7 separate regions of the Mus musculus genome follow, and all the other regions are reported to be linked to region 7. The links are microRNA targets in miRTarBase. Many come from high-throughput screens and were not tested one by one. Region 7 holds a microRNA gene; each other region holds the end of a gene's coding sequence.
The links. The annotated mature microRNA mmu-miR-3473c reads UCUCUCCAGCCCCCAUAAUAAG and lies in region 7 at 2,144-2,165, opposite strand. An mRNA with a match to its seed (bases 2 to 7 or 8) in the 3' UTR can be bound and repressed. Matches are read on the target gene's strand: a 7mer-m8 pairs with bases 2 to 8, a 7mer-A1 pairs with bases 2 to 7 and ends in A, and an 8mer does both.

Region 1: miRTarBase lists Spc24 as a target of mmu-miR-3473c. Seed matches in the 3' UTR shown: 8mer at 3,430-3,437.
Region 2: the mRNA of Trim43b is a reported target of mmu-miR-3473c. Seed matches in the 3' UTR shown: 8mer at 2,801-2,808.
Region 3: miRTarBase lists Ncbp3 as a target of mmu-miR-3473c. The part of its 3' UTR that is shown has no 7-base or 8-base seed match.
Region 4: miRTarBase lists Plxnb1 as a target of mmu-miR-3473c. Seed matches in the 3' UTR shown: 7mer-A1 at 2,497-2,503 and 7mer-A1 at 2,478-2,484.
Region 5: the mRNA of Thap1 is a reported target of mmu-miR-3473c. Seed matches in the 3' UTR shown: 8mer at 1,864-1,871 and 7mer-A1 at 1,945-1,951.
Region 6: miRTarBase lists Ankrd40 as a target of mmu-miR-3473c. The part of its 3' UTR that is shown has no 7-base or 8-base seed match.

The regions. Positions count from the first base shown.
Region 1 is chr9:21,752,156-21,756,360 of GRCm38, forward strand. Spc24 (SPC24, NDC80 kinetochore complex component, homolog (S. cerevisiae)) reads right to left here. Exons shown (of 5, transcript NM_026282.6): 5 at 3,279-4,140. The coding sequence ends at 4,022. Among named protein-coding and RNA genes, the nearest start is that of Spc24, 6.0 kb to the right of the region's middle.
Region 2 is chr9:89,082,028-89,086,444 of GRCm38, forward strand. Trim43b (tripartite motif-containing 43B) reads right to left here. Exons shown (of 7, transcript NM_001170884.1): 7 at 2,597-3,689. The coding sequence ends at 3,217. Among named protein-coding and RNA genes, the nearest start is that of Gm40542, 3.2 kb to the right of the region's middle.
Region 3 is chr11:73,077,977-73,082,393 of GRCm38, forward strand. Ncbp3 (nuclear cap binding subunit 3) reads left to right here. Exons shown (of 13, transcript NM_025818.3): 12 at 1-40; 13 at 965-4,417. The coding sequence ends at 1,200. Among named protein-coding and RNA genes, the nearest start is that of Itgae, 10 kb to the right of the region's middle.
Region 4 is chr9:109,116,516-109,120,932 of GRCm38, reverse strand. It overlaps Plxnb1 (plexin B1), which reads right to left. Exons shown (of 38, transcript NM_172775.2): 37 at 4,276-4,350; 38 at 1,018-3,093. The coding sequence ends at 2,989. Among named protein-coding and RNA genes, the nearest start is that of Gm39423, 3.9 kb to the left of the region's middle.
Region 5 is chr8:26,161,625-26,166,041 of GRCm38, forward strand. Thap1 (THAP domain containing, apoptosis associated protein 1) reads left to right here. Exons shown (of 3, transcript NM_199042.2): 3 at 810-2,527. The coding sequence ends at 1,175. Among named protein-coding and RNA genes, the nearest start is that of Thap1, 5.7 kb to the left of the region's middle.
Region 6 is chr11:94,338,565-94,342,981 of GRCm38, forward strand. It overlaps Ankrd40 (ankyrin repeat domain 40), which reads left to right. Exons shown (of 5, transcript NM_027799.2): 5 at 989-3,283. The coding sequence ends at 1,135. Among named protein-coding and RNA genes, the nearest start is that of Gm51871, 11 kb to the right of the region's middle.
Region 7 is chr1:191,996,459-192,000,875 of GRCm38, forward strand. It overlaps Mir3473c (microRNA 3473c), which reads right to left and starts at 2,176; the gene lies at 2,096-2,176. Traf5 (TNF receptor-associated factor 5) reads right to left here. Exons shown (of 14, transcript NM_011633.2): 13 at 3,340-3,510; 14 at 745-1,549. The coding sequence ends at 972.

The sequences.
Region 1 (4,205 bases), not on the chromosome of region 7:
TTCTTTGCCTGCAGTTCTCTGGGCTCAGAATAGCAATCAGTGAAAGACCTGGATGTGTACCCGTGTGTGCAGTACCTATCTGACCCAGGGTGGGCAAGTGATGGTGGTCTTGCCTGCCTCGTCTCTGTGGATTCAGTTCTGCCCAGGACAAGAATGGCAGGCAGCAGCTGATTTCTGACACACGAACTGCTGTTCCCCGCTGACCACCAGCCCCCCAGGCTGTGGTCCCTTCCAACTCACAGTGTCTGAGCCCACAGCTGTGTGTGGTGAGCCAGCTTGGAGCCCCAGCGGGAATGGCACGGGGGAGACAGTGGGAAGGGTGCTCTGCTAGGCAGCCAGCATTCCCCAGCGCCCGCTGCGGCTCCAGCTCCCACTGTGGTTTTCTGAGATTAAGTTCTCAGGAATATCACTCCTACTCAGCCTGCCTGGGGAAAGTCTCCCTAGATTTCCTGTGTCTTGTCTGACACCCCTACTCGAATCTGCTTCCTGCCCTAGAGGAGCTCTGTCCTTCCCTTGTCCCGCCCTTTGGCCAGGCCTTGTAGGGAGTGTGTGGGAGAAGCTTGGAGCTTAATTAGATCAGTCTCTTACTCAGCAGAGCCACTGGCTGTCTGGAAAATCTTCCCCCTATACTGTGGACTGCAGGCCCAGATTGATCAAGATGCTTTCTGCGGTTGCCTGGTGGCAGTCCTTAGCTTGCTCCCAGCTTAGCATTATTCTGTGTCACCATCTCTACCCTCCCAGCCTCCCCCCCCCCCCCCAGCATTTTATCCCCTGTCACTTCCTTATTGCCAGGTGTGCTGACCTCCTTCCTAGCAGGAGATTGAGAGTCCCCCCACCCCCACCCCCACCCCGGAGCTCAAACACCTACCAGGTGTGAAACCTGAGACAAATCTCCAGCCTGGGTTTAGTTTCCATTTCCAGATGATGCGCGCAGCCAGGCATACTTCCATAGCTCCAGCCACTTACAAGTATGGCTGCCACAGAACCATTCAGCCAGCAGGAGCCTGAATGTGCTTGTGGCTCAAAGGGTAGGTAAGGGCGCTTGTCTTCCAAGCCTGGTGATCGAGTTTGATCTGGTCGTAATCCTTGTAAAGGTGAGAGAACTGATCCCTTACCTCTCACAAGCATGCCTGCACCCCGGGGCCTGCACTTACCTCCCTACATACTGTGACTCTCCATACAGACACACAGTAAAAAGGACCTATTAGGAGGTCCCGAGATCCAGGTGAGAGTGGCCCCAACAACAGAGGTCACAGGTAGAGTCCAAGTGTGGTCATGCCCATAACAGACAACCGATCCTGTCCCCCACACCAGCCCAGCTTTTTTTTTTTTTTTAAAGATTTACTTATTTTACTTATATGAGTACACTGTAGCTGTCTTCAGCCACACCAGAAGAGGGCATCAGATCCCATGACAGATGGTTGTGAGCCACCATGTGGTTGTTGCGATTTGAACTCAGGACCTCTGGAAGAGCAGTCAGTGCTCTTAACCACTGAGCCATCTCTCCAGCCTCCAGCCCAGCCCTTGTGTCATGAGGAGACAGCCTTCAAATCTGGCTGCCTGGCTCCTCCTGCTCATTTCCTAGGTCTATGCATCTTTCCTGCTTAAGGAAACAGCTCTTAACTGCAGCTAACCCCAACAGAAAGAGGGAGAGACTGGAGAAAGGGGCTGGCCACCTGCTGGGTGCTCTTACCACTGTCCTAAAAAACCACCTAGTCCTGGTGACACTTCAGAGGAAGACACTATGTGCCTTAGGGATTGGTGGCAGTAGAACACAGGTGAATGGGTCAACCCCTGGACTTCATATAATGTCTTGGGACTTAAGGGAAATGGCCAGATGGATCCGTCCCTCAGTTTACCTCATCTGTAAATTAGATTCAGGACTGCTCCTCCTTCTGGCTGGTTCTCTTAGAAGGAGCAAGTCAGGCTGTGGGTAGGAATTTGGGCAGGAGGCTGTGGCCTGGCCCCAAGATGTCCCAGGCAGCCAGCCAGTGCTGGGCAGTGACTCAGAGCCTAGGCATGCAGAGCTGGGGGCTCTCCAGGGTGCTGGGCCACAGTCCTCACTCACTGGACCTTGGAGTCAGCCCCCAGTGCTCCTCCAGGGAAGGGAGTGAGGCTCCCCTGCCACCAGAGGGTCAGGAGTTTGAGCAGCTGGGCACTTGCCCTTCTTGTGCAAAGCCTCGTTGTTGGTTCCTGCTGCTCTGCTGGGTTTTTTGGTAAGATTTATGTATTTTATGAGTGGTTCGCTTACATGTGTCTGCACACTGTGTGTGCCTGGCACATGATGAAGTCAGAAGGCTCCAATCTCCTGAACTACAGCTAAAGACATTTAACTCTGTGGATGGTGGGAATCGAACCCAGATCCCTTGGAAGAGCAGAAGGTGCTATTTAGGTGAAGACAAATACGGGCCCTTGGATCCTGTGAGGCCTCAGGCCATCAGACTTGATGGCAAGAACCTTACCCATGAGCCATCTCCCTAGCCCTCCAGCTTGGCTATGTTGGCAGCCTTGAACTCCATGGCTACGTTCTCCACCAGGCACCAGGTCTGCAGGTCAGCATGTACAACCGTGAGTTCTCTATCCTGCACCGTCTCACACTGGTATGAAAACACAAGTCCACAGCAGTGACTCCGCAGGCAATGTGGACTAATGCTAGTCCTGCAGACGTTAGCTGTATTATGTGACCTTCCCAAGGGACACTCAGCCATGGCTCAGACACTTCCTGTTGTCAGGACACTACTGGAATCCAGTGAGGTCGGGGATGGTGTCCCCAAAAGCTAAGACATCATACAGCTGTCACTAGGTGAGGTGGAGTGACCTGGCTCTGGATGTGGCTCAGCAGTTGGGCACAACCTGAGAATCTTCCAGTGACGAGCTTGGCATCAGGACCTCATAAAAAGGGGGAGAGTGGGCCAAGGTGGCTGCTAGCCAACTGCTTACAATCGAAGCAGGAGGACCTGAGGTCAAACCCCCAAACCTGGGCCAACTGCTGGGGCAGTGGGAGAAAGCAAATCCTTGGAGTTCAAACCCTGCCTCAAAAAAATAAAGTGTGGAGGGGCTGGAGAGATGCCGCAGCTGTTAAGAGCACTGGCTGCTCTTACAGAGTTTGGGTCCCGGTACCCACGAGGCGGCTCACAACCAGCTGTAGCTTCAGTTTCAGAGGATCTGACAACTCTGGCCTCCTCAGGCACCAAGCATACTCATGCACATACCCCCACAGAAGAACCAACTCCAGCAAGCTGTTACACACATACACACCCACCATGCTGCACACACACTTTTTTTTAAAAAGAGTATTTATTTAATGTATGTGAGTACACTGTGGCTGTCTTCAGACACACCAGAAGAGGGCATCGGATCCCATTACAGATGGGAATTGAACCCAGAACCTCTGGAAGAGCAATCAGTGTGCTCTTAACCACTGAGCCATCTCTCCAGCCCCAACTGCACACATTTTTGTTTTTGTTTTTTTGTTTGTTTGTTTTTTTTTTTTTTTTGTTTTTTCAAGACAGGGTTTCTCTGTATAGCCCTGGCTGTCCTGGAACTCACTCTGTAGACCAGGCTGGCCTCGAACTCAGAAATCCGCCTGCCTCTGCCTCCCAAGTGCTGGGATTAAAGGCGTGCGCCACCACGCCCGGCTAGGCACACATTTTTTAAAATTGTAATTAAGGGGATGGAGAGACAGCTCAACAATTAAGAGCACTGGCTGCTCTTCTATAGAATACAGGTTCGATTCCCAGTAGCCACATGGCAGCTCAGAACCACCCATAACTCCAGTTTCAGGGGGTCTGAAGCCCTCTCTAACCTCTCCTGGAATACACAGCTAACAGACACACATGCAGACAAAACATTCATACAGTAAATGTAATTACAAATAAAAAAGAAGCTGCAGGCCAGCCTGGACTCCATGCTGTCTCAAAGCAAGTAGATAAATCAATGAACGCACTCACATACAGACATTTAATTTTAGAGTGATCCCCTCCTTGGCTCCCTCAACCCCAGTTCTGTGCAAGGTATGAGGTCAAGGCTCTGGCTCCCACGTGGTGTCCACCAGGCTCCAGAGGTAGTCACTGATGAACTTCGGCGAGAGCTGTGCACTGTCCAAGTGGATGGGCTGGGCCACTGTGGGGCCGTGGTGGACTGAGGACGAGATGAAAGGAAAGTGTTTTCGGTCCTCCCAGGTCCAGTCGCTAACCTTGAACTGT
Region 2 (4,417 bases), not on the chromosome of region 7:
AAAAATAAGTCAATGAAATGATCCCTAGTGGTATTCTGCTATACTCAAAGATTGAGGCCTAGTTCAATAGTCATCAGAGACACTTTCCCTAGAAGCTGATTAGAACCAATGTAAAGACTGACAGCCATGCATGAGATGTAGAGAGAGCCCAAATTGGAGCACTCCATTAGGTCCCTCCCCTCAGAGATCTAGGAACCCCATGGAAGAAGGGGGAGGAAGAATTATAAGAGTCAGTGGGGTCAGAGACACTAGGATAATACAGCAAACAGAAGCAACTAAATAAGGGTCCTGGGGGTTCACAGAGACTGAAGCAGCAACCCTGGAACATTGGTATGTGCTTAAGTTATATCTGCATGTTATGGTTTTTGGTTGGTTGGTTTTTTGAGACAGGGTTTCTCTGTATAGCCCTGGCTGTCCTGGAACTCAACTGTATAGACTCAGAAATCTGCCTGCCTTTGCCTCCCAAGTGCTGGGATTAAAGGCACCACTGCCCGGCATGTTATGGTTTTTAGCTTGGAGTTTTTGTAGGACTAGTAACAGTGAAGTAGATATCTGGCTCTTGTCTGCTCTTGAGACCCATTTCCTCCTACTGGGTTGCCTTACCCAGGCTTGGACTGGGAGAAATGAAAGGAGAAGCTATGATCTGACAGTATTATAAGAATAAATTTTAAAATGTATATACATGAGCTTTGTGTTTTACCTTATTAGATATGAGTTCAAAAGAACCACAATAGTTAAATAGGAAAGGATTTATACTCTATATGCTCTAAATGTGGCCAAGGTGAAGGCCATTTGCCCACAAAAGTACATTTGAGGAGCTTGGGCCTGGACATAAGCCACAGAGCTGCCCTGACTGCTAAACTGATTTGCTTTTTAGCTCTCATTTATTAATTTAAGGCAATTTCATATATTGTATATGCACCCATGGGCCCTCCTTCAAATCCCTCTTCCTTGTGTGCCTATTTAGAAGCAGATGTTCTGGTGCTCTGGCTCTTAGGATGTATCTGCCTCTTCCACAAGGTTTCCTGAGGGTTACATGAGCTGTTATATTGTCAATGCATCAAGTGAGGTTTTATGACTGGAATGTAAACTTTCCAGAAATTGGGGGATTTAGAAATTCTCCAGAATCCTGTACATGATATAAATGCAACCCCAACATTTGCTTTCTCTTTTTCTAATAAAAAAATGAGAAAAAACAAAACACCTCATCCCCTTTGAGCTTAATGCTTCTATGTTTTGTGATCTTATTGAACTGCATGCCTGGTGCTAAGTAGTAGTCGCATGGCATTTCTTATGTCTACTGTGTTCTTAGTCTTTTCTAAAATATTTGCAATATGCTTCCTAAAGGAGCAACCTAAGTTCTCATGTCTCTGCACAGTCCTTGGTGTAATATTCTGGTCAGAGCCTAGGTGTCACAGAAGTCAAATGGTCAATGGAGTCAAATCTTATGTTGGGATATTAAGAAGTATAACTTTATGCCTTTCGAAGCAACATGAGAAAGCAGAGGGAACTAGACTGGCTAACCAAAAAAATTTGAGGCTTCATTTCTGAAAGTCTAGAATCATGAAAGAAAATGGCCTTGGATGGGCATTACAATCTACTTCTCTCAGTGTTCTCAGGTGCACACGACCCTCTTTTTTTAAGATTTATTTATTATATGTGTGTACACTGTAGCTGTCTTCAGATACTGAAGAAGAGGGCATCAGAATTTTTTTTACGGATGGTTGTGAGCCACCATGTGGTTGCTGGGATTTGAACTCATGACCTTTGGAAGAGCAGTCGGTGCTCTTAACCGCTGGGCCATCTCACCAGCCCCACACACGACCCTCTTGCAAATGACCAAGGAGGGGTTTCCAGAAGAGAGAACCTGTTGAATGTCAAAAGACATTTGTGTGCTCTCTGAGACTGGAAGAATATTCAATATTTAAAGCTGTTTTATGTTGGAGACAATTAAAGTTTTTTCAAGTGTGTCCCCAACATAAAACAGGTTTAAAATAAAGGACGTGAAAGAGGGGGAAACTCACTTTCCTTTTTTTCAGGAAAAAAAAATCCCTCTCTGAACGATGAGAGCCTGTTTGTTGTTGTTGTTCTATCCCAGTTGGTAAATAATTATTTGTTTAGATCAAATAGGGATTCAAGCTTTTATTGATCAACAAATCTGCCTACAGTAGATCTCTGTGCCTCTGCCTGACGTCATTAACTTAGAATCACACAGATACAGAATATTTAAATGGTGCTGGAACTCTGGGAACTCTGCATCCTGAGTTCTAGGTCTACACTAGATCCAAGATTCTAATTAGTAATTCTCACAAATATGCAAAAACAAAAAGCAATAACTACTTTGAAAGTAAATGTTTGGCCTGGTGAGATGGCTCAGCAGGTAAGGGCACACTGACTGCTCTTCCAGAGGTCCTGAGTTCAAATCCCAGCAACCACATGGTGACTCACAACCATCCATAGTGAGATATGACGCCCTCTTCTGGTGTCTAAAGACAGCTGCAATGTACTTACACATAATAAATAAAATATTTTTAAAAAAGTAAATGTTCTAGGAGGAACAGGTGGACCACAGATAAGAAGCAGTCACCCATCTTTTACATTTAATATCATTTTATATTTTTTAAATTTATTTATTTATTATATGTAAGTACACTGTAGCTGTCTTCAGACACACCAGAAGAGGACATCAGATCTCATTACAGATGGGTGTGAGCCACCATGTGGTTGTGGGGATTTGAACACAGGACCTTCAGAAGAACAGTCCCTTAACCAAGAGTCAGTGCTCTTAACCTCTGAGCCATCTCTCCATCCCTTAATATCATTTTAACATGTCTTAGTTAGGGTTTTACTGCTATTAACAGACACCATGACCAAGGCAAGTCTTATAAAGGACAACATTTAATTAGAGCTGGCCTTCAGGTTTAGAGGTTCAATCCATTATCAAAGTGGGATCATGGCAATATCTAGGTAGGCATGGTAAAGACCCAGATGAGAGTTCTACATCTTCATCTGAACGCTGCTAGTGGAAGACTGACTTCCACACAGCTAAGATGAGAGTCTTAAAGCTCACACCCACAGTGACTCACCAACTCCAACCGGGCCACACATTCTAATAGTGCCACTCCCCTGGCCAAGCATACACAAACCATCACAATAAAGAGGGGACACATTATCATAGAAGTACTAGAAAAGCACTAGCATACTGGATTCCTATGATTATGTGTAGACAGCAGAGAAGAAAGGCCTGACAGCACAATGGAAAGTTCCAGGAGAGTAGCTGAGTATGAGGGAACTCTTGGCTACATCCACGAAACTTACATATCCACCCTCACAATCAAGGAACACGCCAACTTGGCCAACTGGCTTCTCTATATAGTGTTCACCTCCTATGCGGGTGATGAGAATGTAATGATCGTCCTTTCTCAAACACTCAAGAAATAGATCTGTGGGTGTCGCCACATAGCTTCTCCCCCTTAACCAGGGATCCTTACAGACTCCTACAGTCCACCGCCTATAGTCCTTCAAATCCACCTCCCAGTAGTATTTTCCCCTGGAGAAGCTCTTTTTTCCCCAGGAAACACGATGGGTTTCAGCTGAATCCAGAGATGTGCTTTCATGGAGAAGTCTGATATCAAAAGGTCTGAGTGAGGTGTAGCCGAACATGATTGAATGTTTAAAGGAAATCTTCACTGTGGGAAGAAAAGCCAACATTTTAGTTAAACCAACTGTTTACAGTTGTCAGGTGAATGAGGTCCCTAGAGATTTCCTGGTTTTAAAAATAGAAAGGCTAAGACTGGAAGGGTAGATATAGCCCAGATAAATAAATAAAAGTCAAGAAGTTCCCCCAAGAAACAGTGAGTACATAATGAAAACGTTTTTGAAAATCTGTAGAAGCTGCAGAGGAGGAAGCCACAGCACAGTTCTGTCAGGAGCTTTTCATTACCACTGAGCAACAGGAGGTGTGCAACACAATGAGGACCGCTGTGAAGGCTGTACCCCTGAGTCTCCATGAAAAGTTATTCCTAAGTCATGTCATGATTGCTTGCATCTTAGTGTTTTGATTTTCATTCCACTAAGCAGATATGTACTCAAGACAAATCTAAACATGCATTAGAAGTTGTCCCCTAATAGCAATTGTCTGCCTTTTACTAAGCCCTGGTTCCTCTGATATTCTTTCCCTGTGATGACAATCCATATTTAGATCTCCCAGTGTGATTCTGACTGCAGTGTCTTATCAACTCGTTTTATTTTTATTGCCTATGATATATGAATTTGTCTATTTGGGTTTTTTTTAATGATCATTTCTGTAGTTTCTTTGAGATGGGATTTCTTGCTATATATCCTTGACTGGCATGGAACTCACTATGTCAATCTGTCTGGCCTCAAACTCTTGGGCAATCCTCCTGATTCCATGTTT
Region 3 (4,417 bases), not on the chromosome of region 7:
GTTAAAGGCCTCTACTCTGATACTCGGGAGAGGAAATCAGGTGAGTAACACTTCACAGTGATGGAAGGGAAGGAGTGGAGACCAGTGGTTATAGCATAAGAAGTAGGTAGGTCTGTGTTTGTTCCCTCTTCAGTTAGCATGACTTCCTTTGTCTACATCAGCATCAGCACCATGCCTACAGGAAAGTTCAGGAAGGAGAAAGGAGAAGCTATACATCCTTGCTGCTTTTTAGTTTCACATTATTTAGTTTCTTTGTTCACACATATATCTAGTTTTTTTTTATGTAGCCTTTTTTTCTATAACTCTTCCATTTTGCTTTACTCTTCATAAGTAAATTAAACCTTTAATTATCTTGTAGTATATGTATATCACCACATTCTAAACACATGCTTCTTTGTAAGGTTTTAATAAAACACTTCTTTTGGGGGATTTTTTTTATGTTTTGCTTACATGTTTGTCTGTGTACTGTGTACATGTCTGGTGCCCTTGGAGGTGGGAAGAGGGCATTGGATCCCCTGGAAGTGGAGTTATGGACTGTTGTAAGGTACCATGTGGGTGTTGGAAACATAACCAGGTCCTCTGCAAGAACAAGTACGCTTAACCAATAAGGCCTTCAGCCAATACATAAACACACTTTAAAAATGTATAGCTGAAAACCTGAGAATTGCTCATAGTAAAACAGACCCGTTCAGTTTGCAGAATGTGAGAGTTGGCGGTTTCTTGGCAGACTGAGGGGTACACAGCCTGGGAGAGAGGCAAGTGTCTAGTTTGTGCCTGGTATGGGGACACCAGCCTTGAGCTGTGAGCATCTCCCATCGAGTCTCAGGCTGTCCACTTACAGACTGGCACCAAGCACCTCTCCCGATGTTTCCTGCAGAGCAGGTGTTGGCAGTGTCCTTACTTCCACAGAACTACTTGGTACTCGGCATCGACTGCCAACTGAAGTGTCTTCTCACCCCAACAGGTGGTTTGTGGACTCGCTTAGGATCTACACCCAAGACCAAAGAAAAGAACACGAAGAAAGTGGATCACAGGGCATCTGGTGCTGAGGAAGATGACTCGGAGCTTCAGAGAGCATGGGGTGCTCTGATCAAGGAGAAAGAAGAGTCTCGCCAGAAGAAGAGTCGGCTGGATAGCTTGCCTTCGCTCCAGATTGAAGTCAGCCGGGAAAGTAGCTCTGGTTCAGAGGCAGAGTCCTGATGCCCTGGCCTTGGCAACTGCCCTTAAATCTGACATTCTTACATAAGGTGGGGCGTGCAGTGGGAACCTCCCTTGCAGGAGCTGGCGCCCTTTCCTCCTACCTGCACCCTGAACACTTGCTGTCCTAGTAGGACAGCTTAAGAGTGTGATGAGTTTTGAAGGAAGGGTGTCTCTGTCTTGTGCTGCAGAGTTACAGTTCTGGGTCCTCAAGTCTTCCCCACCACCCCACAAGCTTTACCCTTGGAGTTAAAGGCAACCCTCCAGATTTTGTAGACATTTTCTTAATATTTTTAACATTGTGTCTTTTAAAAGCAATGTTTTACACAGTCATCCAAAGAGCCGAGAACTGAACTTCTCATTGTTGCCTTGGCCCTGACAGATCTTGCCAGCACCCTGTTCCAAGAAAAGTCAGTTCTCAGGTGCTTACTGGACAGTCTTTGAGGGGGAAGATGAGGGAAGCTGCCAGCTCAGCCTTCCAGGGCCTTAGTGTGGTGGCTAAGTCTCTCAGACCTGACCTGAGACCCTCCCGAGTAGATATGCTTGCAGCAGCAGTCAGCAGTGGCTTCCATTCCTCCCGGGGGGAGTCTTTTAGAGCCTTTTGCTGGCTGGTAGCCTGGTGTAAAGACCAAGTTCAGTGCTGTAGGACTTCTAGGGACAAACAACTGTGACTTCTGGATTTGGAGTTGATTTCTGTGCTTAGGGGTGGGGTCTTGGGTTGATGTTGAACAATTTTTAAGTCTGTATTATGTTTAAAAACTATTAATGACTTAAAAGTTTAAATTTTTAATTTTTATATGTGGATATTCCTCCTGTTGGCTAAGGGGAAGCTCAAGTGGTGTCTTTTGTGTTGTTAAATATACATTATATACTTTGGAAGAAGGCAAAGAAAGGAGTGTCATTATTTTGAATGGTACCAATTGTATGGTCTGTTGTACTTGAGTTCAACTTGCTTTGTGGCCACTGTAGGAAAGAAACTGCTGTCCATCTGTGATGGGCTCTTGTTTATTCCCACTTTTCTAGAAATGATACCCTGAGAATTCACTCTTTGTGTCTCTGACTTATTATTGAAGACTTATTCAAAACTAGCAAATAAGACAGTAGTTTCAGAAAATGTAAGTTTATGTTTATTCTCCTTTCAAATGATTTTACCATGGAAAGGGAGTAAGTAGATTATTTGGCTTCTCATCTGACTTTACTTTATAGTATTTAATACTGTATTGCTCTACAGGCTTAAAAGTGGTGTTTCACTTGAGTGCATAAGCATGCCTTTGGGATGTCAAGCTCTTCACCTGCTCGGCTTGTTCTGTGCCCAGTAGGTCACAGAGCACTTGACTTGTGGTTGAGCACGTGTCCCTTGGTGGCTGCCTACACTGTGAATGAACAGTGATGCACATGAAGAAGCAGAAGACTTCAGAACTAAGTCGTAACAAAACTGTATCATATGTATCATTTGGTTAGCAACCCCACCCCACCCCCATCTCCACCCTACCCCCAGAAAGATGGGAGCATATAACCAAAGTGGTTTGGCTTCTGAGGATCCTAGAAAAAGGTAGTTCTAATTTCTCTGCCAGTTCAGACCTAAGTCCTCCAAGGTTTCTAAGTTTATCTTGCCCTTTGTAGCTCACAGCTTACAGTCAGGTTCTTAGAGGTTCAGACTTTGGTAGAGTAAGAAGAAAAATGGCCTGAGAACAGAGACCTGGATGCCAACCAGGACTCTACACACTGGGCCTGAGCCTTGGTTTCCCCATGAAGCAAGGAAATGGTCTGGTGCAGAGATTCTGGCTTTGTTGATATCTCTCAGTGGTATTTTATTCTTGGAAGTTGTGGCTGCAGCATGTTTTTCTGTTGAGGTGGCCAAAGTGTCAGGGAACAAGGTGGCCATGAGATTGTGAACAGAGACTCACCCCATCCGTTTACAGGCTCCAGTTCTCCCAGTGTGTTGAAGATGTGCCTGTGGGGTCTAGAGCCCCAACCCATCCTCAGCTTTCTTATTGTTCTATCTGGCAACCCAGGCCCATTTGCCTAGGGTCTTTGAGCACTTGTCAACCTCCTGCTAGAGATGAGGGGAGGACTTTATGGAAGGTAGGCAGTATGTATTCAAAACTAACTCCTTGAGCTGACCAGGAAAGATGCCCTTGAGCAGCATTGCAGTTTTTACAGCACAGACAACCCAGAAACGTACATACTGCCTAAAGTGATGGTCTGCCCAGCATCTCTCTCTCCAGCCAGCTCTCAGAGCTGCCCAGAGCTTCAACACCTTGAACCCTATGTGCTTAGGAGTGACAGTAGTCAGGATAGCCCAGCAGGCAGCTGGGTATACTTTATTCAGGGCACTTTCTGTACATGTGGGGTTAGTCTTTATATGTAGGAGATTATTAAATGCCCTTTTGCTGCTTCATAATAATTGCAGATACCTCATCTTTGTTTCCTACTACTCTTCTTTGTAGAGGGGCCTGATGGCCTCTGGCCCTCCTCTATCATAATTCCATGATTCCTTCCCCTGCTTCTGTCTTTCCTTTCTGCGGCAGCTTCTCTCAACCCTCCCTCTTCATTCTACACATTGTAGTGGGGGCAAATTTTTACTTGAGAGATACGTACATAGTATGCAGTTTATCCTTGTACAGTGTACATTTGATTGTCGTCTATTTACAGAGCTGTGGAACCATTATCATCATCAGTTTTAGAACATATTTATCACCAGAAAAATCCTGTTCCCACTAGCAGTCCTCCTTCACCTCTCCTCAGACCTGGCAACTACTAATCTTTCTGTCCTTGTGGATTTGCCTATAACGGACCTTTCATAAATGTTATATGCGATGTGCAATGTGTCTGTTTACTTAGTTTTAAGGTTCATCTGTGCCATGGTATATATCATCATTTCAAGTAGTGAGTACCTCTCTCTCTCTCTCTCTCTTTCTCTCTCTCTCTGTGTGTGTGTGTGTGTGTGTGTGTGTGTGTGCGCGTGTGCGCTTAGACATTTTCATTGTGTGGCCCTGGCTGCCCTTAGAACAGGCTGGTCTTGAGTTCACAGAGGAAGCTCTGCTTCCCAGGTGCTGGGATTAAAGGTGTGTGGCACTGTGCCTGCCAGTGGGTTTGTTTTGTTTTGTCTTTTCTCTTCAGTTTTTTAAATTGTCTAAATATTTCATTACAGTGCATATAATGGGCGTTCTGTGATTTCTAGTCAGGACGATCATGAATAGGCTTCTGTATATATGTG
Region 4 (4,417 bases), not on the chromosome of region 7:
GGTTTGTTTGCATGTGTGCTTTTTACCGTGTTATCCTACAGGAGCCTGGCAATGCAGATACTGTAGGCCTTACTGCCAACAGAAGACAAGACAGACCTCTGCCGTGCTGTGCCCCAGGGTAGCCCAGTCCCTCTGAGCCTCAGTCAGCAGGCCCCTAGGGTGTTGTTGCCCATTGCCAGGGTTCCAAGTGTCTTCCAAAGCGATCGCAGAGCTAATCAGCATAGCACAGCTGTAACAGCCACAGACACCCTTCTTCCATTTAAAACAACAATGAGGGCTGGAGAGTCAGCTCAGCGGTTCCGAGCACTGGCTGCTCTTCCAGAGGTCCTGAGTTCAATTCCCAGCAACCACATGGTGGCTCACAACCATCTGTAATGGGATCCAACCTTCTTTGGGTGTGTCTGAAGACACTGTACTCACATAAAATAAACAAACCTTAATATATATTTCCTTCCTTTAAAAAAAAAAAAAAACACTATACAGTGTGCTGGGTGTGGTGACGCACACCTTTAGTTCCAAAGCTCAGGAGACAGAGCGCTGTGAGTTCAGTGTCAGGCTGGTCTACACAGCAAGCTTCAGGCCAGCCAGGGAGAAATAGAATCCCTGTCTCATAAAGAATTTTTTTTGTTTTGTTTTTTTGTTTTTTCTCTGTGTAGCCCCAGCTGTCCTGGAACTCACTCTGTAGACCAGGCTGGCCTCAAACTCAGAAATCCGCCTGCCTCTGCCTCTGCCTCCCGAGCGCTGGGATTCATACGTATCTAATCATCTGGACAGTCACCCAGCGTTTAAAGTGGCGGGGGGATGAGAAACGTGGGACCTTAGCACACTATCACACTTTGTGGGAAACAATGAGGGCATACCTTTGCAAAGTGAGAGTGAAAAGGGGGAGAGACTGAGCAAACTGTATTACAAACAGTCTATATTGAAACTGGCCGGGCCCCAGGTGAGCCACCGCCAAGTCCTGTTGGCACTGGCCTTGCCACCCTCAGCCGTGGCAATCGAGTGAAGACTTAGCTTCCTCTCTGAAGTGGTAACATTTTTATTTTCATGACATCTTCTATCACAGTGTTCTGTGAGGGTGAGACAGGAGTGACTCAGAGCACGTTCCATACTCGCCCATCCCATGAGCACACGCCCAAGCACGCAGGTACACGGCCTTCCTCTGCAGGAACCCTTACCGCCTCAGAGGACTCCCAAAGACTGCAGAAGCTCAAGCCTGGAGCAGAGGTGTGTCTCTGTCACCATCCCTGCCATGTTGACTTAAAAGGTGCCTCCCTTCCTGTATCTGTCTGAAGTCTAGCCAAGACCTCATTCCCCCTGTCAGCCCTGTTCTCTGAGACTGTCAACAACATAGTTGGTCGGAGTAGCCACTGGGGGAGGCAAAACCATTCTGCGTGAGGATAAAATCTGAACTAAGACAACTATCATTAGTACTAAAGTTCACATGCTCCCAAAAGAGGGCCTGACTGCTGGCCGTCTGTGACTGTGGTTCCCCACATCTGGCAGGCATGGGGAAGATGGGATCTGACAGAAATAGTCACTGTGATTACCCCTGGCATGAAAACCAAAATGGCTCCTGCGATCTTGAAGACAAAGATTCTAAAAGACAGCAAGAAGGGACTCTTGGAATTGTATCAGCCCATGTCTTCAAACACTTGGGGAAGAGCTTGAGGTTGGCCAGATCACTGGCTATACACATGAGCCAAGGTGGAGCTCTCTGAGGATGCCACGACCCTTGCCTGGTGAAGCCAATGGCATTCTCAACCGCCAGCTGCCAAGTGCACCACAGTACCATGGTCTTGAAGCTCACTTGTAGCTTCTAACAGGAAAATACCACAAGGTAGCTACTACACAGGCAGGTGAGTAGCTCTGAGCTCCTGCCTCAGGTACCTTAACATGGACAGCAATGTGGAAACTGGAATCCAGAAACAGGGTCATGGACCTGAGACCCACACTGCCTGGAATCGCCTTTAATAACGCCATACTTCCCCAATTCTTTTAAAAATTCATGGAACATGAATGGCAAAGTTACCACGACCTGCAATCAAGGTGGACCCCTTAAAGATGGGGGACAGAACCCCACATCTCAGGCCCCAACTCTCCCTGAGCCTTATTGTGCTTTAAGTTCTCCTTTCTGGGGAGTGTTGCCTCTGGCAGACCCTACCTAGGAGCCGGAGAGAGCTTGCCAACCTCATGGTGGCCTTCCGTGGGTGTCAGGGGACCCTTCAGAGCACGATGCCCACATCTCCCAGCAGCTGCCAGTTCTATCTTAGCAGAGGGGCTGGTGAGTCCATACCATGTGTTATCCTTTAATGAAGAGCTATAGCATCAATGGGTCACTGCTCTCCCCAAGGCTCCCCTGAAGCAGCTGTCCCTCCCCACCAGCCACCTGGAAGACAGGGTGGTCCTGAGGCACCAACCCTGCTGAGGCAGCAGCAGCCTAGAAATGCATCTCTTTCTCTCTCTCTCTCTCTCTCTCTCTCCCCCCCCCCTCTCTCTCTCCTGGGAATTGGCAACAGGGAACAAGGACAAAGGAAGCGAAACTTGAGGTCAAGGAGGATGGATGAAGAAGACAGGAAGTGGGCGGGCGGGTTCTCTTCCTTCCTCTGTGATTCCCAATGGGACATAGGTCAGTGCTCAAGAACAGTACAGTCTCCCCAGGGGCCTGGAGGGCCTACCAGACATTCTCTGGAAACCTTAAGTCCCCAGCTCCCTGCAGGCTGGCGTCACCCAGGAAGTAGGTCAGAGAGTCACCAGGCTTGGGGCAGGCCTAGCACTACCCACTGAACCACTAGGTCCCAGGCCTACAAGGCAGGTCCAATGGGGCTGAGGCTATGAGCTGGTGCCACCAAGAGACTGGGAGCCACCTTTCATTAAACTCTGCTTGTCAGTCACTACAGGCATCTACGAAGGTGGTGGCCTCTCCCTTGAGATTCCAGGGCTGCCCAGGAGGTACAGAGACAACAGCAGGCAAAGACTCCCTGGTCCTTATAGATCCGTGACCTTGTTTTCCACAGCAGCGGCGATCTGCTGGAGCCGGTAGCCCAGCTGCATCTTCTGGGCAGTGCCATCCTCCTCCAGGGCAGTGATGATCTGAAAGGCAGGACCAAGAGAATCAGAGGAGACTTATCTGGTCACCACAGATAGCATTTGGGCAGGGTAGTCAATGGGAATTCAGTGACTAAAGACATAGTGGTGAGGCTGACTGTAGGTCTCACTGGTGAGGGTGAAAACAGAACAGTCGCCTGGGTTGTTTTCTAGGGTGTTTGAGGCATGGTCTCAGTATAGCCTAAAACTCGAACTTCCTGCCTCTCCAGTGTTGATACAGTTGAGCACCCACACGCAGACGTTCAAGAACAGGCTGCCAGGGAATGACACTCGCCACTCACCACCTAATGCTCTTTCCTCACCACGCTCATTTTGTGTAGAAGCCAGCCTCACATAACCACTGGCTTTCTCACAAGGTCTGTCATAGCCAACCCCATTGCCCTTCCTGACAGCTAATGGCATTTCATGATTCTCTGTGCCAAGACCAAGAGGATATATTGAGGCAAAAGAACAACCCAAGAACCACAAATGAGGTTGGCATGAAGGAACAGGCGGCAGGCAGAGCTTGGGGAGAGGAGCTGGCTCTCCTGTGCGCCAGCAGGTGAAGGCTGCATCAGCTCTGCACCTCTCCCTGTGCTGAGGCTGGCATCAAAGGAATGAGGCTGTGGATCCCTTGGTTGTTACCAGGCCACTCAGCTGAGACCACAACGCAGGTTTCCGTGTTCTCAACGATAGGCACATCACTGGCGCCACACGACTGTGGTAATTCTATAGGCACTCATAGGTTGACTAACAGTGAAACGGACGCACTTAGACATCAAGGCTGGTCAAGAGAGGCCCGAGAAAGACCCCTCCTGGTTCTGTGGTCCACTCATCTAGCCTCGTCCTGTGCTTGACACCTCACCCTATGTCTCCTATGGCTTATGACACCCAGGCCAGTCTGTACCCACAGAAGCAGTCATGCCCAGGACAAGGCCAACCTTGGGATCTGGGAGGGATGGTAGCTAGGTAGTCTTCCGGCATATCCCACATACCGTCTCCAGATCCTGACAGATTCTCCAGATGCCCCCAACCACTACCACCATGCCTGGGCAAGCCCCACTGCAGAAGCATAATGGGGGATTGTGGGCACAGGGAGAGCAGAACCAATGTGGGACCCTCACTCAGCTTCCGAAGAAGCACTCTGAGCTCGAGGCCAGCCCTGCAGTGGGGCCCAGCTGTGCTCACCTGGTCATAGTACTTGTTGATATACTTGTAGAGTTCATGCAGAGCCACTCGCGCCCCAAGGTCGGCAGAGCAGTTCTAGGGAAGAGGGCAGATGGAAGGGAGGGAAATGAAGAGGCTGTAGTGGGGAAGAGGCCCAGGACCT
Region 5 (4,417 bases), not on the chromosome of region 7:
AAAGGCCACTATTAACAATAATACATGTTTTAAAAACAATTCTGCACATTAGAGATCTCACAGTAAATAACTCAGTCTAGTTCTGCTTAAGGTAACGGAAACTCTGTTTCATTTATGTGTTGATAAGCTTCATTTTCATTCCTGGGGATGATTTTCAGATTAATTTTTTTCTGTTTTGGGTGTTTAGTATTTACTTATATCCAACTAAATCACTTTCTCTGTTTCACAAATTCCACTTTAACGTCAGTTAGAAAAGTTGAATTAGGACTGGAAATGCCGCATGGTGGCACACACCTGCAGTCTGAGCACTGCAGAGAACCAACTGCGAGGATTGCCACAGTTGAGGCTAGCCTGGTAAACACTGCCATTTTCCAGGCCAACCTGGACTATACAGTAAGGATGCCCCATTCCCCCATACAAATACAAGGAAACCCCAAACCCCAAACAAACAAAAACCACCTTAAACTGATGCCAGGGGCTTATCGCTTGTAATCCTAATACCTGGGAGGTAAATGTAGGAGGAGCTTACGTGTAGGGCCAGCCTAGGCTACACACCTAGGCTTTTAAAATCTACAGACAAGCCAAAGCCTAACGCTGACATGTTTAGGCCTGGAAGGCGGTTTGAATCCTAGAGAGCTTTGCCTAGATGTCCTGGTGCCCTGGATTTCATGCCAGTACTGCAACCCACCAAGACAATGTATTTTCTCATTTTGGACTTCTTGTGTATCATGGAGTGACAAAAACTGTTTAATGTTGAAACCTCAGCTATGTTAGTTACTAACCCCACGTGCTTGTCTGTTGCTGTCTAGAAGGAAGACCTGGAATCCCAAGAACAGCTCCCCTCTCCTTCACCCCCCGCTTCCCAGGTTGATGCTGCTATTGGGCTGCTAATGCCCCCTCTGCAGACCCCTGATAACCTGTCGGTTTTCTGTGACCACAATTACACTGTGGAGGATACGATGCACCAGAGGAAGAGGATCCTGCAGCTGGAGCAGCAGGTGGAGAAACTCAGGAAGAAGCTCAAGACGGCCCAGCAGCGGTGCCGGCGGCAGGAGAGGCAGCTCGAGAAGCTCAAGGAAGTCGTCCACTTTCAGAGAGAGAAGGACGACGCGTCCGAGAGGGGCTACGTGATCCTACCAAATGACTACTTTGAAATTGTTGAAGTTCCAGCATGAAAAAATGAGATGTGTTAGTGGGACAAGACTATACACCTTCTTTTAGCCTACATACAGGAGTTCATTTGAAAAAATAACACTTAATTACTTGTATTAAAAAAACAATATTTTTTTAAAATAAATTAGATATATACTGTAAAATTGTAATTTTTTTGTTTGTAATTTCAGAGTTTCTACATTTTAACAAATATTTAAAAAATCCTTAAACCACCAATATAATGTTGTATATTGGTTTCAAGATGGTGGATTGTTTTTCATTTGAGTATTTATAGAAATAATGTAAAAATAAAAAGTAGAGAGGGTGATGGTATGATAAAATGATTTAAGTTTAAAAATTAATGCCCTTTATTGAGATAACTTATAATTTAAATCAGATGTTTAAGTGAGAGCATAGGACAGAGCCTTTCAGAATATAGAGGTATACATACACACATTTTGTATTTATAGCCAGAGCTTCATTTATTTTTCTCAATCACTTATCAAAAATGAACTGTCAAGCCAGTATTTGAGGCAAACAATATTTTGCTGTCTTCAGAAAAATCATTCCATAGTTAATAGTTTCATAAAGAGTAGTTTTAAGAGTAGATCCTTTTTGTCCCTAGCGTTATGAAATTAGAAGTGTGTCTTGGGGAGTGGCAGGCCTCCAATCAGGTATTGGCATCAGTGAAGAGAAAATTGGGGGCGGGGCTGGAGAGATGTTTCAGTGGTTGAAGGTTCGTGCAAGCCTCGCTGCCTGGGTTTAACCCCTGGGGCCCATGTAAAGGTGGAAGGAGAGAACCACTCCACAGAGTCACCTTCAGGTCCCCATGTGTGCTGTGACAACCTTCTAAAGAAAGAAAAGTTGGGACCTGGCTCCTAATATGCTCTGATCATCCCCTGGCAAAGGCACCCGATTCCACAGCTGTAGTTAAATCTGCATTCAGACCTCTGACAGATTATTTTAGTAGAGTTTGGTTTGTACTATAATACCGTACTTTGCCCTTTGTACTTAAGTCTTTGATAAATTTTCCCTTAACTGTATGATTTTGGACAAGACATTTCATAGAAAATATTTTTTTCAACTCTTAAGTTAGAAGTTATATCCAATTTACTCCAAGTGACTTACGTTCAAAAGTAATGTGTCGTGTTTGTGTCGCCGTTGAGACTTAAATATTGCAGTTTCTGTTCACACTGTGGATTGTGTTCTGTGAGAAAGGTTACGTATGCTTCAAGTGAAAATATGTTCTGAGTGGACAAGTGCTGATAAAAGAATTCTCTAGGTGTAGGAGAACCGTATTTTATATCTCAGAGGACACTGTAGCTGAAGAATAGCGGACCTTTCAAGACAGTATTAAAGACATGTTATTCCAGTATCTTGTGGCCCTGCTTTTTTCTTTCTGATTTACTACCATGCTGAGAATAGGTAGCACTTTTTTTTTTTTTTTTTACTACATGTAAATAGCTTATAATTGCGTAACGCTGGCTGGGAGGAGGAGCTAGGTACTCAGATGAGAGTCCAATAACCCCGCCCACCCACTCTTTCTAAAAAGGCTGATCAACAGTCTAATCCAGCTATGATGATCTTTTATAAACAAGCACAGCTAATCTTACGAAGATGTGTTGTAGACATTTTTAACCCCAGTCTGGAGTTCCTACCCGCCTTTGACCATTCAGTTCCTGGATAGAAGACACACAACTTATTATTTCCAATAAGCCTTAAGCAGCTCAAGAGCTGGGCAGACACCTACCCTCTCTGCTATTAGAATATACGTTTCTATCGATAGCCCCGAGTTATTACTTAAACAGTGTTTCATCAGGGCTGCTCTTAACTCCAATTGGTCAGCCCTCAGCCCGTTTCCATGGCTCACCTAAACCATGCTGGCTTCTTTCTCCTCACCTTCTGTTCCTCCGGTGGTTCCCCTCCAACCCCAAGCCCAGGAATCCTAAACCCTAGCAATTTCCCTTCTGCCCAGCTGCCAGCTGTCTGCATCGATATTTCCCAGTCAGAAATAACTTGGGGGCAAGGTCACATGCCACGGTTACTAGGGACTCTAGGTTTTTCGGGTTGCACTTAGCCTTACAATACACAGAGCAAGACCAAACCTCAACAAAGATGGCTGTTGTTTGGCTCAGAGGACATGACTGTGCTTAACAAAAAGTTGACTACGTGACTTTAATGAAAGGAAGCAGAATCCTAACAACATACACAGGATAACTGAGTGAAGTTATATTACCTGTGTGCACAGTGATAAACTATGCAGCTTCATATGTTCTCGGGTAAACCTTACAGAAAACACAGGATACTCTGTGTAGTACGTGGAGTCCTTTACCATAACTGTGCTTTTGGTTTGAAATGAGTATTTGTAGCAAATTTATAGATAAAGCAGACACAGAGCAAAACGTCATCACATTGATGTTTATGACATGCAGCAGAACTCAACAAGAAAGCCCTGTGGAAACTAATGCTGGAGTTACCATTGGGAGACTTTAAAAGAGAGGATTCTCTCTGTTATCTCCATAAGAGAGCATCCCAGGAGGTATTTTTACTATGGACATCTTTGTACCATGGTATAAATAATGGTACACACAAAAGGTAATGCTCCTTTAAAAACAGTGAGCTCATGGGACACTGGACAAGAGCCCTGTTGTTCAGTCCAGTGACAACTAACTGGACCCAAGCCCTGTCTTCCTTGTCCCCTGTATAGAGTGGTTCCGATAATTATTATCACCTGTTGGGTCGTGCCTTGGAAACAGACTTTAACAAGAGACAGAACACACGTGTGTGTACTAGAGTCTTATACATGATAACAACACTTGGTTTTAAATTTAAAAAAAAGATTTCTTTTACAGTGTATTCTATATTTATGTCTCAACTGATGAGAAAAACAACTTTTAGCACAAGAATGCCAATTTATTCCCCTTCCCCACTTTTTGGACACATGAACACAAAATATCCCTGCAGGCCAAAAAAACAAAACAAAACAAAACAAAAACCAAAAAAACAAAAACAAAAACAAAAAACAAACCAATAACAACAACAAAACCTCTCCAAAATTTAAACAACCGTTATCTTATTTCACGGAAAGTACCTCGTATTGCTGGAGACAAACATCCAGTCCAAAGTAATAAAATACATTTGAAAACACTACAACTCTAACCATACAGAAACCATACCGTTAGTCAGAGGAACAAACACAAACATTTTCAGCCAGTAGACCCAGAGAGAATATGAATATGTCAGTAGGAAGGGATAAGAAAACGGT
Region 6 (4,417 bases), not on the chromosome of region 7:
CAAGCACACTTAACTTCTCCCTTGGTTATTGAGCCATAGCTTAAGTGGAAGCCAATAAAAAGGACAAAGGAGAGCCAAGGCCAAGGCCAGGTTAAAGCTTGTGCTTGCTATGTGCAAGGCTCTGAGCTCCAGCTCCAGCCTTACTGTAATCACTCCATAAGCTTTCTTCCCCTTCCTCTGAGTCCACAGAGAAGCCCCCACCTTACTCATGTATTTCTTTCCAGGCAGGGTCTTGATGTGTAGCCCTAGCTTGCTTGGTATTTGTTGTGTGTCTCAGGCCAGCCTTGGATTTATGGCAGTCCTCCTGCCTCTGCTTCTTGCCTGCTAGGATTAAATGTGTGAACGATCATACTCTAATACACTGGCACTTTTGAAGGTTGGAAGATAGCAGGATGTTACATGGGCCTGTTTCAGTTGTTCCCATAGTAACCTGTAGCCTTATGCCATATGATATGCGGCCCACCTGGCATCTTTGTGATGCTCCAGCCAGCTATGGGCTCTCCAGCATCAAGCTTCTGGCTTCTCTAAGTTCCTGAGGAAACCTGACACTCACCTGCCTGTCCCTTTAGGGCATTCTCATCCTGCAACAGAGACAGAACTTTCTCCTTCTTGTTCAGATTAAATGTGGGGGCTGATCACTGCTTAGCTGTCTCAGGGATTTAATTTTCCTTTTAGATTAAAGATGAACCAAGACCCTGGAATTAATACAACCAACCAAGCATAGACACAGACTGCTGCTATTGCTCTGTTGCCTTGGGCTGGCAAGTTGGCTCAGTGGGTAGAGGCACCTACTGCAAAGCCTGAAGACCTGAGTTCTGTCTGTCCCAGGGCCCCACATGGTGGAAGGAGAGAACCAGTTCCCACAGGTTGCCCTCTGATCTCCACATGTGCATTATAACACAAATGTGTGCACACAAAACGAACAAATGTAATAAAGAGCTAACTAAATGAAAAGAAAATTTTAATCCATTACCCGGTTTTGTTTCAGGACAAAGATGTTGCCCGACTCCAGGACTTCCAGGAGCTGGAACTGGTTCTGATGATAAGTGACAATAATTTTCTGTTTAGAAACGCTGCATCCACACTGACTGAGAGGCCTTGCTATAACCGGAGAGCTTCAAAACTGACGTACTGATGCAGCAGGGACTTCATCACTGAGTACTGTGACAGTATGTGTCATCTCTGGGCCAAAGGACAAGCCATTGATCCCAAAGCCTCGTATGCCCACCAGGGCCCCTGGTGCCACTGCGTAGTGTTCACTAACACCCCGCCTCACCAGGCAGGAGCCCCGACCCCCCAGCAGCGGTGCCACTCTTCCAAGCCTCTTGGTGCACAATAAACTATTGCTGAATCTTTGAACAGCTGGAAAGTAGTCTTGAGAGGCAGAAGCCGAAGGTTCGAGAGCCAGTGTTTAATGTGCAGGATCTAGAGAGTTGTCAAAGCAGAAGCTGAGAGCGCAGACCTATTTCTAGCCACTCCTGTTGACAGTGCGCCTGAAGGGCCGGGCGTGCCTCTCTTGGTGTTGCATGCTCGTGACACTCAAGAAATTTTGAACTGATGAGGGAGGAAGACTGGGGAAAGAAAGAAAGCACACACAGGTACTGGACAGAGGGATTCTGGTATGACCTGTGGCTGTGAGGTCTCATATAGCATATTTATAAATGTTACTCAGGTTTAAAGTATTTAAAATATAGTTACCTAATTGTAAATAGGCTGTTAACCAAAAGAGCTTCCCCTCCCCCAGTTTTCTTTTATGACCACTGATGACTGCGGCTGTCTCGACAGTCATCTTCACATCTGCTCCCCTCCACAGTCACTAGAGGGCTCTCTAATGCTTTCTAAAGGAGCCACCACCTGCTCCGTGGCCACTCCTGTCACCCTGTCTAATTGCACCATTCAAGAAGAGCACAGGCGCTGTTGGACAAGGCGCCCACCACTCTCACTCCCTCCAGGAACAAAGAGCAGCTTTTGAGCCCGGACTTGTTGCTGGTTTAAAGGTTATTGTGGGAAACTGAACTAAAGGAGTTAGCATCTTTATTTTTGTATCAAAGATAAAGGTTATTTTGAAAATTATTAGGGTTTTTACATAACTCTGGAATCTGTTGCTTTTATAAACAAATTGTTCAATTTTAGGAATTCCCCGTTACCTCCACAGTCAGTTGTGAGGGCCTGATTAGACTCTGGAGCATGGTGTACGACTCTTCTCCAAGAGCGCATGCAAGAGTCTCCCCCCCTCAGCCTCATTAAAGACGAAAAGCCACCTCGGTTTGCTTAACTTTAGATAGATAGGACCTGGCGCACACAAGAGCAGGAGAACAGGGCTGGAGCAGCTGTTGACGGGACCCCTGCTGTCTTAAGCTTTTCCCCATAGTGCCTATAGTTTCCAAAGAAACTTAACTTCCTGGGTATTAACTTAATTTTATTAGAACACTGCAGTTGACTGAAAACATGCAGATGCACTGGAAGAGAACCTTGTGCTGAGGTAATGGCCTCCCACTGCCGCCTGAGTGCTGAAATGAGCTTGAGGTGTTCTTCAAAGCCAGTGTCACTGTGTGGGTCACTGTGAGGTGACTGCATGGTGCCTGGCCCTGGCACAGCTGGTGACTTCCCTTGTAGAGTGTTTGCGTAGTGGAGTGGCTGTGGCTCACCACCCCCTTTCCCAAGTGCTTTAATGAAGACACCTCCCTTGTGTTTCAACCAATCAGAAACTACTTTAACTAAATGTACTAACCTTTTTCCCTCCTAATTTGCTTTGAAAAAGTTTAGTAATTCAATTAAGCGTGATTCTATCTTAGAAGAAATAAACTCAGTATTAATTCATGTCTAAATCACTGGGGTTGAGACTCCTTCAGCCTCCCTGGTTGATTAGAGATTCTGAGAAGCAGTAGAGCTGGCTGGGAGGTGGGCTACAGAGGAGCAAGCAAGCACTTCAGACTGACCAAAGGTTGTGGTGGCCCACATGGCTCTGCCCAGTGTCCTGTGCTTTGCCACAGTCCTCTGGGGTCAGTGTCTCGGGCAGTGGGATGGAACTGTGTGATTGCTCTTAGGTGAGTTCCGAGTCTTAATCTATGCATTCAGAGAAATATTTTTATATGCGTTGTGTAATTTATAACAAGGGGTTTTCTTTTAGGCTTTGTTAACTGAATGCTCCTCTCCTCCTCCACTGCATAGTTAAAGCATGTGTTCACACTGTGTAAACATTCACAGAAGACTTTTCCTCGTGTGTTGTTGACTCTTTAAACATAACAGGTATTATTAAAATTAACTGTTAACTGACCCAGCCCATTCTCTCTCGTTTTGCCCTCGTTTTGCCACTGTATTCTAATCATAGAGGGTTCAAATTGCTGTGAAGTCCCATGGGGCTGGCGCTGTGGAGGAAAAAGAGGACCAGATCCCCAGCCGAGTGTCTGCCACCCCACTGTTGCCTGCCTCTGCCCTGTCACGAGTGTCACTGTCTCACCCCGTGGGTCGTGTCTGGAGATGGATTCTGTGTGATGTCTTCCCTCCCAGTCACTTGGTTTCCCTGGAGTCGCTGAGCAGCTAGATAGAGGTCATCCCCTATTAACCACAGTTTTTGATTATCCTATTTACTTGACACAACCGAGCCTCCCCTTTGGGCTGTCGGCACCTGTCATGGCCTCAGTGAGTTCAGAAGCGAACTCCCAAGACAGGAGAGGAGGCACAGCCCGCCACCTTCAGATCTCTAGCAGGGAAGGACGCTGAATGAATCTCCTGTTTGGTTTAGGCCTCCCAGCACCTCACAAAGCAGACGTCATGCCAAATTGGCCTAATAAATCAGCACAGCAGAGACCTTTTCTTAGCACCAGGGAGAGGCAGAATAATTTGGGCATTTGTGCTCTCATACTTGCTCTATCAGAAGGATGGAAGTCGCCTTCCATACACTCATAAACATCCTGGGCAGAAATAGCCTGCCCAAAAAAAAAAAAAAAAAAAAAAAAAAAAAGTGATTAACCTTTAACAAATGGTCCTGCAGCATAGGCCAACCCGGGGCATATAGAAAAAGCAGATCAAAGGCGCCATCTCCTTGGTGACTGCCAAGCACTTAGGGTGGGGAAAGAAAACCAGCCACCACCCGCACGCTGTCAGTCACTTCTCACCGACAGTAAGGGTACAATTGAGGGTGAGCTCGAAGGCTGAGGAGGTGACAGGGAGGTTCCTTTCAAGTGCAGTCCTGGGACCAGATGGACTGTGCAGAAAAGTCTTTTGTTGGCTTGTTCAAAATGGCTCCAGGGCCTGGGGAGGCAGGGACCTAGGACACTTTTAGCCTTCCTGTTCACCCAGCTTGACCAGAGGAGAAGGAAAGACCAGTGGCCTCCCTGGTGAACAGGCATCTTAGGGAGCCAGGAAGGGAGAGTCACATCCACTTATTCCCCTGGTGAGCAGGGCTTGGAAGACT
Region 7 (4,417 bases):
GACAGATCTACAAGAACCCGGTCATTTCTGCTCTCAGAGCACTCAAAATGTTGACAGGAAACTCCGCAAGTTTCTACAAATGCTCATTTTTTGGTCAGCATATGAATTTAAAAGTTCTTCCAGAAGAACAGAAGGGTTCAGACAGCTGCTATCCATGGTGAACAGGTTCCCCTTTTGTCCTTTTCTCATATTTTTCTCTGTCATAACAAATTTGCTCATCCTCACACCCACTGCCATGCAAAGGTCACCTGGCTGAGTTGTGTGAACTGGTATAGTTGACAATTTTACCTAAGAAAATACTTCTCACCTGGTCAAACCTAATGAACTCTGAACTTTCGGTTCACTAAACATCCACTCCTTGGCACCCATTGTGTTAGTGGAGAAGGACGAAGAGCCGACCCATTTCCTAGCTGTTATACAACTTGGCAAACTGTGCTTACATGCAGCTAGTGGATCCTGTATAAAACACAAAAGGGCGATGCGATTTCCAAGCGGTTGGCATCTCCCTGAAGATCTGTGGTCCAAATGCAGCATATGTAGCTACACTGCCCACACTTGACTGGCACAGCCTGCCTGTCTCTTACAAGATGGCTGCTGCAGGCCTAGGCTCAGGTGTGGAAGCACTGAGTCAGCTGATAAATGACAACGAGTGTCAGTGGGAATTCTGCCCCTGTATCAGTCCCGTTGAGCACTGGACTCCCTGAAAACACTTCCCAGACTTCAGTGAGAGAGAGGAGCCCCAGGCCTTGTTGTCAAATTATTATAATTTTTTGGAAGATACAAAAATATAAATAACAGCAATATTTCAAGAGTTTAAAGTTTCAAACCAGGGAAGGATCCAAGATAAAAAGATGACACATCAGACATCGGAGGCAGGAAGACAAGAACAAGAGCCTGCTCAGTCCAGAGGGCTGCGCCCAAGGGACAGCCACACCTTTTCCTGTGCTGAGAAGTTTCCTTATCAGGTAACACTACAGATCCTCCAAGTCAGTTAAATCCACGGCCACTTTCAAGAACAGTGTGTCGTCTTTAATGTAGGTGTTCTTGGAGTTCTCCAGAGTAGAGTGCGACACAAAGCGGGGACAGCCAGAGGCAATGTTCATCTCGCCATCTGGCCTTTTGAAGCTGCTGCTGTTGGGGTCAGCTTTGAAGGTCTCCACAATATGGTTCTTCTTGCCGCTCTGGTCCAAAAGCATCAGGGTCACCCTCTGCCTGAACGGCCACTGCAGCAGCGAGTCAAACTCACCGCGCATCACCACAAAGTACAGGGACAGGTGCGTTCCCTTCCCCGACCCGTCCCCGTTCAGGTACGCCCTGGCACAGAGCCGGTAGCCGCAGCGGCTGGTGTAGAAAGGCTGGCTGAAGACGGACACTGTGTGCCCCTCCACGGCCTCCCTCTTCTTCACCCTGTAATCTGTCACCTTCCAGATGAGCTTGCCACTGTAGCAGGCGCCCTCCAGCTGCTTAAACCGCTCTTCGTTCTTATTCAGCTGTGCTTTGTGGATATTAATGTGTGCGTCGTGCTTGCTGGTCTCCCCCTCTAAAAGAACTGGAAGGAAACACAGGACAGGAGGCTGCAGCTCGGGCCTGTCATCTGAGCACTACCTGTGAACTACTACATGCATTGCTAACATTAACTCAATCGTGGTAAGCTGACGCCAAGCAGACATGGATGTATCCTCCCTCTTCACTCTCAGCTTGCCTGAGTATAAGACACATTGGACATTCACCTCGAGTGAATTCTCATGCTGAGCCTTGTGCCCGTCTAACTGTGTGTGTTTGTGTGTGTGTGCATGCATGCACACGAGTGTGCTTGTGATGTAAGTGTCTGTGCATACTTGCATGTGTTTGGCTGTGAGGTGCTTGTGGCATACAGAGGCCAGAGGTTGATACTGAGTGTCTTCCCCAGTAGTATTTCAGTCTTTTGATGTAGTTCTCTCACTGAATTAAACCCTGATATTCTGGCTAGCTTGTCCTGGAGATCCTGTGTCAGCCTCCAGAGTGCTAGGACCACAGGTAGCCCTCCAGTCCACTCAGCAATCACATGGCTACAAGGATCCAAATTCTAGGTCATGTGTGCAGCAAGTGTGTTATCTACTGAGCCATCTCCCCAACTCCTATAATGAATTTTACATTTAAAAGACTTATTATGGGGGCTGGAGAGATGGCTCAGCAGTTAAGAGCACTGACTGCTCTTCTAGAGGCCCTGAGTTCAAATCCCAGGAACCACATGGTGGCTCACAACCATCTGTAATCAGATCTGATTCCCTCTTCTGGTGTGTCTGAAGAGAGCAACAGTGTACTCACATACATAAAACAAATAAATAAATATCTTTATAAAGTCTTATTATTATTGTTATTGTTGTTACTGTTGGTGGTGCGTGCGTGCGTGCGTGCGTGCGTGCGTGCGTGTGTGTGTGTGTGTGTGTGTGTGTGTAAGTGAAGGCATGTACACCATAGTATACATGTGAAGGTCATAGAACAACTTTCAATAGTTGGTTCTTTCTCTCCACTGTGTGGGTTCCAGAGATCAAACTCTGGGTGTTATAGTTTCAATGAGTTGTGTGTCCTAAGTCCTAAGCATTGGAATACTTGGTCCCCAGTTGGTGGGTTGTTTGGGGAGGATTAGGAGGTGTGGTCTTATTGGAGGAGGTGTGGTCTTGTTGGAGGTGTGGTCTTGTTGGAGGAGGTGTGGTCTTGCTGGAGGAGGTGTGGTCTTGTTGGAGGAGGTGTGGTCTTGTTGGAGGAAGTGTGGTCTAGTTGGAGGAGGTGTGGTCTTGTTGGAGGAGGTGTGTCACTGGGCTTGGGGTTTCAGCAGCTGCTCCAGTGCCATGCCTGCCTGCCTGCTGTTTCTCTATGAGATGGTGGTAAATTCTTATTTCTCTGCAATCATAAGCCCAAATAACACTTCCTCCTACAAGTTACCTTGGTCATGGTGCTTTGTCACAGCAACAGAGAAGCCACTGATACACTGGTCATCTCGATTGCATAGCAAATCACCTGCTAAGCAATCTCACTGGCCCCAGTGCACCAAAGCCTAAGACACCCATCACCTCTCTCCCTTGTTCTTAATGATTACCACTCCCAGCTCTTGGGACTGCCTGGGCCATTTCAGTCTCGTCTGACTCCACACACATGGTGGAGACCCTCATTTTCTGAGGCAGCTAGAATCTCATGCTGCTTCACAAACAGGATTCAGCCACTGGGCAACCCAGAAAGCTGGTTGTGACTTGTTAGCTTCTACCACAAATGCACACAGACAGGGAAGCCATGAGAGGGAACCCGACTGCTTCATACACACACACACACACACACACACACACACACACACACACGTACCTAATCTCTGGTCACTGGCTTCCAGCTGGGTGATCCTCTGTTTCACGCTGTCAACCGCATCCACCAAAGACCTCAGATCAAGTCGACTTGGCTGCTGGTTAACTATTTGTAGCAGCTGCCGCACCTGCGCTTCCAGCCAAGCTGACTTGTCCGTGTGACTGGTGAGAGCCTTGCGGTACAAAAAAGAGAATATGTCTTGGAAACGAGACATCGGATTTGTAGCGTGTTGACTGAATTTTAACACAAACATTTCACATAGAATGATCCACTCATGAAATGGAAGTGGCAGTGTCCAGAGAGGGGGTTCAGTGGACATGGCAGAGTCAGCAGCTGCCATCTTCTTCTTCCTTTCCAGGCTGGACTCCTCTGGTGAATTTCTGAGCTTTCCCCGATGTGTCTAAAGTCTCCCCTCCATGTATTCACATGCACTTTGTGGCCCTCTTGCCTTAGCCTTGCTTCCCTCAGAAGAAAGTTTCCTTTCTGTAAGGAGGTCAAGATTGGGCAGGAGCAGGCAGAGCCTACACACTCTATGGATCTTTCACATGGAGGATATTAATCTGTCTGCCTTGCCCATATAGTCTTAATTCCACCCTATTGCTCTCTGTTTAGGAAAATGTCAGAACTAATAGTGTGATAGGTTCCTTTTTTTTTCCTAGACATACTAACACATACATATACATATGTGCACACACATCTGCACATACGTGCCCAGCACATGTAGAACAGGTGCATACATGTATGTATATATGTATATGCTGTGGTGAAGAAGAATAAAGCTTCTATGGCCTAGATTTCCTGGAACAATACACATTTCAAACACATTGCCCATGTTATATGTCTTTAAATCACTACAAATCTGGTCATGAGAGAACTTTTATTTGTTAGGGGTCCATTTGTGGTTAGTTAACATTCAGGATTCATCGAGTGATGTTTAAGGCATGCCCTTCCCAAAGGGAATTAATGATTTTACACACATACCATGGAAGTATGGTATAAACGTTGCATTTACCAGCATGGGTATAGATATACTCATGTACGAGACAGTGTTACTGTCAGCTGCAGAGGGCCACACACATGC